2 linked regions of the Cricetulus griseus genome follow. The protein of the gene in region 2 purifies or fractionates together with the protein of the main gene of each other region. This does not show direct contact. Links are inferred from orthologs where the notes say so. Each region holds a gene or a part of one and is shown on either strand. Other genes may lie near its edges.

Evidence for each region. Proteins that work in one complex are often made in the same cells at the same time.
Region 1: the proteins of Cdc42bpb (region 2) and Fam167a purify together in Homo sapiens (co-immunoprecipitation; 3 studies listed by BioGRID and IntAct, counting the BioPlex papers as one, with this or other methods). This does not show direct contact. The link is inferred for Cricetulus griseus from reciprocal best matches to the Homo sapiens genes CDC42BPB and FAM167A.

What each region holds. Positions count from the first base shown.
Region 1 is NW_023276807.1:218,479,221-218,483,267, forward strand, and holds the start of Fam167a (protein FAM167A), read left to right. Parts: upstream 1-1,239; 5' UTR 1,240-1,328; exon of another isoform or gene 1,329-1,504; intron 1,505-3,571; 5' UTR 3,572-3,955; coding exon 3,956-4,047.
Region 2 is NC_048598.1:182,637,195-182,641,350, forward strand, and holds the start of Cdc42bpb (serine/threonine-protein kinase MRCK beta), read left to right. Parts: upstream 1-1,348; 5' UTR 1,349-1,606; coding exon 1,607-1,781; intron 1,782-4,156. UniProt on the Homo sapiens protein: Serine/threonine-protein kinase which is an important downstream effector of CDC42 and plays a role in the regulation of cytoskeleton reorganization and cell migration. Regulates actin cytoskeletal reorganization via phosphorylation of PPP1R12C and MYL9/MLC2.

The DNA.
Region 1 (4,047 bases), on a different chromosome or scaffold from region 2:
GGGGTGTCTGTCATGTGGAGTATACCCGAGCCTGGTGGGATTCTGGGATGATCTCCTTTTTCCTGATGTCCTAGCCCCAGGTCTGAGGATGCCCTTTGGCTTTCTGCTTTTGCTCTGTGCTTACTGCTCCAGGAGAATCTAGGTTAGTTGAAAAGCCTTGTTGCCCAGCCTGTCAGAGGGGTCTTCCTGAGCCCAGGCTCCAGAATACCCTAGTATATCAAGAAAGACAGGAGGGCCCTTCTGCCATTCTGCCCACCCAAAAGCTGCCCCAGATTTGGCACCTGTTACAGACACCCATTCAGCACTTGCTACCAGCTCAGGATGGAGTTAGCTAAGTGGGCAGTTGAGAGTGAACCTCTCTCCTGGCACCTCCCCAGGCCTGTGTGGGTAACATTCCAGGCCAACTCCTACACCTAGTTATAGAGGAAGGAAGAAACCCTCAGGCCTCTTCAGACACCTGGGTCATTTGGTTTCCAAGGGAAGGTTTGGAAAGAGCAGAGATGATTCAGGTCACCGGAAAGGTCAAGGGCCCATGGATGACGGCTCAGTGTGGAGGTGGAACTGTGAATGTGGGCTCATCAGTATGTTCCCTCCACTTTGCAACCTTTTAAATGTAGTTTTAACTAGGCCTCTTGCATGTTAGGCCTCAGATCCCCTCAGTGACCTACACACTTAACAGAGACCTTCAGTTTGTTAATACCCTGCAGCTATCACCCTGAAATGCTTAGGAACCTTTTTCTTTTTAAAACCAAGAAGATCCCAGTGTTTGCATTTTGCACTGAGCCCAGTCTGCAGATTGTGCAAGTTCTGGCTGTACCAACATCTCAGAAGAGGATGGAGAGGCTCAACCCACAGGTCCAGAACACAGACCTGACAGCTGCCTTCCAGCTCTGAGCTGGGTAGAAAGAAACTGACTGTGTGCCCAGGTCCCAGCTGGCAGTGGCCTATAGCCAGCTCGTGGAAGCACCGCACCTTCCCCAACTCTGTGCTTCCCTGTCTCCCTGCTCTCCTGCTTGCTTCTTGGATGAGACTGAGGCTGGAGAGAGCCAGAGTGTGCCCAGTTCTTCACAGGCACCATGAAGGCAGTGAATCAAAGGTTCCCCTAGGCTGAGTCATCTCACTGAGCTCCTCTTCAGGCCTTCTCTGAGTCAGAAACAGTAATTAAAACAAAGCCACACAGTGAGACTCAAGAGGAGACCTTGCAGCGTTATCCCCCACCTCCCACTTCCCCCCGCCACCCTTCCACTCCCCCCTCCCCCCCCACCTTTGCAGCGAAGCACGTAGGAGTAGGAAGGCCTTCCCACCTGTGTTGTCCCTCCCAGGACTTGGTGAGTAGGGTGCTGCTCATCAGCCTGTCCAAACTGGACTTTCTCCAAAAAGCTCTGCTGGGTGTGGCGAGAGCTCCCTTGTCTGGGGAAGGAAGCTTTCTAGGGTTCGGATGCCCCCGGGTGTACTCAGAATGAAGGCTGGCACCTCAGCACAAAAAGCAGACAGCAGGCGCCTGGGAGGGGCTCCAGGAAGTCACTCCCAGGTTTTCATATGTGGGGAGATCTGAAGAAGTTTGATCACAAGAATCTGGAGAGGCAGAATATCAAGAGTTGCTGTGTCTTCCCAGCGTGCTAACAGTCAGAGAGCATATACGAAGAGATGCGTGGTATAGATGCATAGTATCAATCAACCCTTTTTACAGAAAGTCAGACTGAGGCTCAGCTAGCCTGACAGCCTAGAGCTAGGGTCAGCATCTCTAAAGGTTACCTAGCTATGTGCTTGGAGCTTCTGGGAAGCTGAGTGGCTGCTGAGGAAGCCCCTGGGCCCACACAGTGAGCTTAGAATACTTGGGAGGGATCAAGGACCCTCAAGGTACTGTTACTTGCCCAGAGAAGGCAAGAAATCAGACTGGGTTTCTCTGCTATCTGTGGGGTGGAATGTCCTCATTCCCTAGTGATGTCCTAGGGAGGGTAGGCTTGGAGTCTGGGGAGAGCAGCCCCTGATGCTCTGGTCAGCTCTCCCTGCAGCGTAGACTTGCAGGAGTGGTCCTGAGCAAAAAGCTGTGTTCTTACCTTCTTCATGCCTGTCAGGAGGACCATCCTCCCCCCACCTCAATGGCCAGCCTGCCAGTTTGCTCCTGCACCTCCCCCATCTTAAATCCTCATCTCTGTCCACCTGTCACTGCAATAAGGTATCACCTGAATTAATTTTTTTGAGCGGGAATATATGTATTTTTCTTTACCCCTTAAGCTGATTTTATTCATGATCCCTAAAATGCAGAAACAGCTTCATGCATTTCAACAGGTGAAGAGACAAATTGTATTCCATCCCTTTGCCAAGAAATGAAGTAGAATGAAATACTGATAAACACCTCAAGTGTGCCATGCTAACGGCAAGAGGGCTGAGCCTGTGCGGGGGAATGATGGAGCACTCTCAGGAAGAAAATGTGTGGAGATAGAAAGCAGATCACCATCAGGGATTAGGGGATGTGGGGATGCTGCCCGCACAAAAGCAGCATGACCGATTTGTGTCACCATGAAGTCAGGGGTTTTCAAAGGCACACAAAGTCAATAAACACCTCTCTCTTTCCTCCTCCTTCCACACAAGGGCAGCATGTGCTCCAAGAGGCTGAGCCTATAGCTTTTCATCAGAGCCTTATCCTGGATCCGGTCCCACCTCAGTTCGTTCATGTATAGAGCTCAGCAAAGCTATGTTTCAAACCCAAGTTCAAGTCATGTGCCTCCTACCCCGATGGGCCCTTGCCCAGATCTCCTCGGACATGAGATGCTCAGGCTGGGAGGCTCGAGTCTGTTTCTCACTCAGCAACTTCTCTATCTACACTGTTGTAGATAGGCTAAGAGTCTTGGCTTACACCCGTCCCCAGAGCCAAGGTGGTCATCTCAGAGCACAGCCAGATCCCTCGCAAGGTGGTGCTCCCCTGTGGGCTCTCCAGGTAAACGTGAGAAACATCTTTCCAAAAGAGTGAGTCATGAGTCTCCTTCAGTTTCACAGCCCAGCTCCAGCCGCCAGCTTCTTCCCTGCCCAGGCTGCCGTTTTATTTGCTTCCTCTGAAGGGGTGAGGTCAGGTGTTGTTGTTGGAGCCGGAAGCTGTGTGCCGATGGAAGGTGCGGTTGTGATGAGTGAGGGTGGTTAAGGGGCAGTAGACACCTGTCCTGGGGCTGTGCGGAGTCCCACTTGGCCAGTCAGCTGCCTCTGAGGACCGGCCCAGAGGAGACACCTATATCCTGAGATTCAGACCAGCTGATTTTGTCCCCTGTTTCTTGCTGAGGGATCTATCTTGGTGAGTCACTTGGCCTCTTGGAGACTCGGATTCTTCCTCTGTGTATTGGGTGTTAAAATCAAGCATCTAAACTTGCTGCAAGGGCTTCCCTGGGCTCAGACAGGTAGAGTGGTTTTACAAAAGGTAAAGCTCTATCTGACTCAATCAATTGCTCTGCATGAAGTCTGTGAAACTACTTCACTTCTTGCCAAGAACTGGCAAGTAGAAACCCGGTCCATGGACCTCAGTTTCCCATCTTGGGGGGTGAGACCAGGGCTGATATGATTCTTTTCCATCCTGCAGGCTTACTTCCCCCCAAAGAGGGCATTCCCATCACCTCCGACCTGCACACCTCTGGCAAGCATAGATAGATCTCGGAGGAGGCCGCCCCAAAGATTCCTGCTGACGCTTGTCTGATCCTGCCTTCTGTGAAACATGGCCCCACAGGATTACGGGACAAATCATAGACCCTGAGCCACACCTGCTCAGAGAGGCACACTTCACAGCCTTGTTTGGCTCCAGGTGCTGCCAAGCCGTGAGACTCACTCCCATCCGAACAATGCCTTCAGGAGTCATGGCCACTGCTGTATGAGGTCCTTGCTGAGCAGGACTTGACCTTGCTACCCAGCAAGCCTCCTGAGTGACCTCCTCCACCTCCCATGTGTGGCTACAAGGGCAGACTAGAGAATGTCTGTGCCCCGGATCCAAGTGGACGAAGTGGGTGAGAATGACAGGCCAGCAGGGGCAGCCGCACCTCCAGATGACCACCTCCTCAGCCT
Region 2 (4,156 bases):
GAACAGAAATTGTTTATTAATTTGCTTTTGTTCCCAAGCTAGGGAGCAAGCCCCATAATGACACATTGCTTCAAGTTCAGAGGAAGCCTAGAGTATACCTGGGTCCCATCTGTTTCAGGGGTGTAAGGCAATGCGGGAACAGATCTAGGATAAACAGACACACTAGAGGTAGCTGCGAGAGGCACCGCAGATTGACACAGGCGGCGGGGGGGGGGCCGGGGGGGGGAGAGACAGGTACAAAGTTCTAACTTGGAGAGATTAAATGCTTCAGAGGCAAGCAACCAAAGAGAGGACCCAGGGGCTCCAGTGGGAGGGTCTGGAAGGCAGAAAGGGCCAGCCAGAGAAGACACTCTCTCATGGGGGACACACTTATGGGACAGAGAGGAAGCGTGGGTGCTGTCGGGAAAGAAATTCATTTGTCTGGCCACACTATTTTGGGTCTTTGTCCTACAAACAGTGCTCAGATTTCAGTTTTGGGTAGGGCGATTTTAAAAATTGGGCACCACACACGTGCGGTAACTAGTGAAATATACTATATATATGTACAGATCCCCTCGCAGTAATACTGCTCTCAAGAGGGTTCGCTCTACCCAACTTACTGTGCCGGGACATTTTGCCTGCGTTTTAAAAACTCAGACAGACACAGAGACACACACGCACGCACGCATGCTTGTGTAACCCCAACCAAGTCATTAAGGCTCCGGGGACCCTTCCTCCGGTCGCTTCCTGCGCTGGGGTCGCCATTCCGCGGTCGTCTTTCCATCCATCATTTTGCCCCAGGCTCCACTCATTCCGGCTTCCAGACCCCACTGGCCCCGTTGAACCCTAAGCCCTGACCCTGGGGTCCACAAAGGGCGCCTCCTCCTCTGCGGAGGCCGGGGATGCTCTACATGGACCGTTTCAGCCGCCCGCTGTCGCCTGGAGACAAGCGTCTGCCCCGCACCGGGCCGACACCCTAATGACCACTCAGGGTGGGGCAGGGTGGGTGGGTGGGGTGGGGGTGGAATCCCAACCGTCGGGGCCGCTGGTTCTGCGGGTCCCGGGGCGCGTGCCCGGCGGGCGAGCGCGCGGCCAGCGGACCCCGGGGCCTCCCGGCAGGTGCCCCGCCCGCGTCTCGCGTGCGCACGGGCACAGGGCTCGGTCGAGCTCGGACGCGACGACCGAGACCCAGCAGAGCGGCCCCCAGGGCGGCGCCAGGCAGCCGCCGGCGGGTCGGTCGGTCCGGACCACGAGTCGTCGGGCACTCGCGTGCCGGAGCGCCGCTGGGATCCGGGGCACACGCTCTCGGCTCTGCGCTGGCTGCGCGGGCTCGCTCGCGTCGGCGACGGCGCGCGAGGCGCGCGAGGCGCGGGCGCGGGCGGGACGGCGTGCGGGCGGCGCCTAGGGGAGGAGACCGGCCCATGGACCCGCGGGGCCCGGCGCCCCAGACTCGGTGCCGCCGGGACGGAGCCCAAGATGTCGGCCTAGGCCCGGCCGCGACGACGGGGACTTGGCGGCTCCTGGACGCCGGGGCGCGCGGCCGCTGGGCCGGGGGGTGCTGGCCCTGACGCCGGGGGCGCACGGGCGGCGAGAGGCCGGCGCGTGGGGAGCGGGGCCGCGCGGCACCATGTCGGCCAAGGTGCGGCTCAAGAAGCTGGAGCAGCTGCTCCTGGACGGGCCGTGGCGCAATGAGAGCGCCCTGAGCGTGGAGACGCTGCTGGACGTGCTGGTGTGCCTCTACACCGAGTGCAGCCACTCGGCGCTGCGCCGCGACAAGTACGTGGCCGAGTTCCTCGACTGGGGTGAGTACCGTCCTGCGCTCCCCCCCGCTCCCGGCCATCGCCCCGGCCGCTTCCTAGACCCACCCTCCGAGTCTGGAGATCATTTCCTGCAGCGCTCCCTGGGACATCCGCCCGGCCTCCGCCCGGGACCAGCCTTTGGGGGGTCCCGAGCCGGGCCTGCGCTTACCCCTCCAGCCCGAAGCTCTGCCGGGTGGGAGGGCAGCCCCCGCCCGCCCGCGCCCGGTGGCCTGGGAGAGCATCGCCCCACAGCCCAGCCCCGGGGGCTCCACCCAGGTGACAGCCTGTCCACATCCCCGTGATGTCCAGGGCCTGAGCATCCCCTCGCCTTTAGCACCTCCAAACGCATTTTAATGCGAAAAGCTTGATTTCCAACCCACCGTGCAAGAGCAAATAGATACTCCCTCCCTCATCCCCGAATTAAAATCGTGTCAGACTCTTGTGATATTATTGGTGGTGGTGGTGGTGGTGATGGTGGGAGGCAACTGGAACTGTCCCTTAAAAACTTTTCTTCATCTGACCTTGGTATTCGGTTCATTTAGGGGTCGGATGCAGTAATCAGGTCGATGGATAGCCTTCAGTGTTTCATTAGGGCAAATGCTTGCTTAAGTCAGTCATTTATTGATAGGAGTTCCCAAGCCAGGTTAGAGACGCTTGCTTCAAACCTCCCTTACAGTCATTTCCCCTCAAGACCCCTCAGTTCCCTCACAAGGACTCGGTAGGAGGAAGTGAGGCTTAGTTAGGTTCAGGTCAAACTCGTAAATCTTACCCTCGGGTTGCTTTCGTCATTGGGCTAGGACTGTGCGGTTTGAACCAGTCGCTTCTAATCTTTGGGGCTGATAAGCTGATATTTACACGAGGAAACAAATGTGTTCCACATGGAGGCCTCCTCCTCTCACAGTGGTGACTGGGATCTAGAATTCTGTTTAGAACGCAAATTGCCATAGTCTTTAGAGGGCTTCCCTCAGGATGCTGTCCAGCGAGGTGTTGCTGCCTGTGCGTGAGAGCAGCTGCAGGAAGGACCCTGCCTCAGGACACTCTGGGGCTTTGTTGTGAAGGGCCTCTGCTCTTGGTTACACAGAGGGTTGAGCCCTTAGTCGAGCGTACTGGCTTTCCAGGGGAACTTTTATCAGTGACATGATTTCCAGTTGGGTAATTAACTGACTTCAGAGTTGCTTTGAAAACCAGGACTCTAGTGCATGCTGCAATCTGAGACTTGTCAATATTGTACTTGCCGTTCTTTTTTGAGCACTGGTTCTTGAAACCAGGCGGTTCCAGTCAGGTTCAGCTGGGTGCATAGCATGTGAATAGGGTAACGAGAGCAGGCAGCAGCACAGGGAAGAAGGCTGATTTCACTGATGAGGTGTGTTCCAGGTGTCCTTTGGCCTGGGACTCGCACAGTACCTCATGGGGATGGGCTGGAAGGCTGGGTGCTCACCACTGGGTGCCTCGGACTTCCCGGGAGGAAGCTTTCCTTGGCATGTGAAGAGGGCAGGTTTTGTAAGATCTGACCTTTCCAAATCTAAACAGAAGGTGTGTGCTATAATGTAAGCATAGTTTTAAAATTATGTTTTGGCCTTTGGAAATTGTGATTACAAATGGATTACCCTCTTAGCTCAGTTCCTGCATTGGTGTAAGCTCTAATTAGGAGCAAGCCTTGGGTGTGATGGCACACTGGTAATCCCAGCATTTGGGAAGCAGAGACAGGAAGATGAGGGCTTGAAGGTCAGCTTCAGCTACATGGTGAGTTTGAAGCCTGCACGGGCTACCTGAGAGACTGTCCCATAAACAACAACAAAAACCAAATGATAGAACAGATTGGTGCATTAAATATGAGGTAGAATTTTAATGAAGTAGTAACATGGTTTAGAGTGCCATGCGCCTTTATGTATATTCCTGTGTGTGCTGTTGTGACTTTGAGGTGGTGTGTCACCAGTAAAAGCACATGTGCAGTCATTTGGTGTGTTGGTGACAAGGCGAAGAATGGCCTTCCCATAAGACTGTTCACAGTGGAGGGGCTTCGGTTCAGGAAGCATCCGGCTTGTTGAGATTTGGGGCTCTTTGTTCTGCCTGTTTCGAGGTCTCTGACACATTGAAAGTGCAGAGAGCCAAGCCAGTCTCTTCCCCACCACACAAGAGTATCTGCTGACAATAGATAGGATTCTTGAGACTCAGCAAACAGCTGACTCAGCCCTTAAGAAACTTAAGGGAAACCTTTGAGGAAATTTGGGAAATAGAAGTAATAAAAAGCTTTTAAAATTTAAAGATTATTCCTGGCTCTCCGTGGCCACCGTGTTTGGGTTGGATGTATCACTGCAGCTTTCACTGTGGGGGCTCAACTTTACTTTTTTCCTCTGATTGTTTTTATCATTTGATTG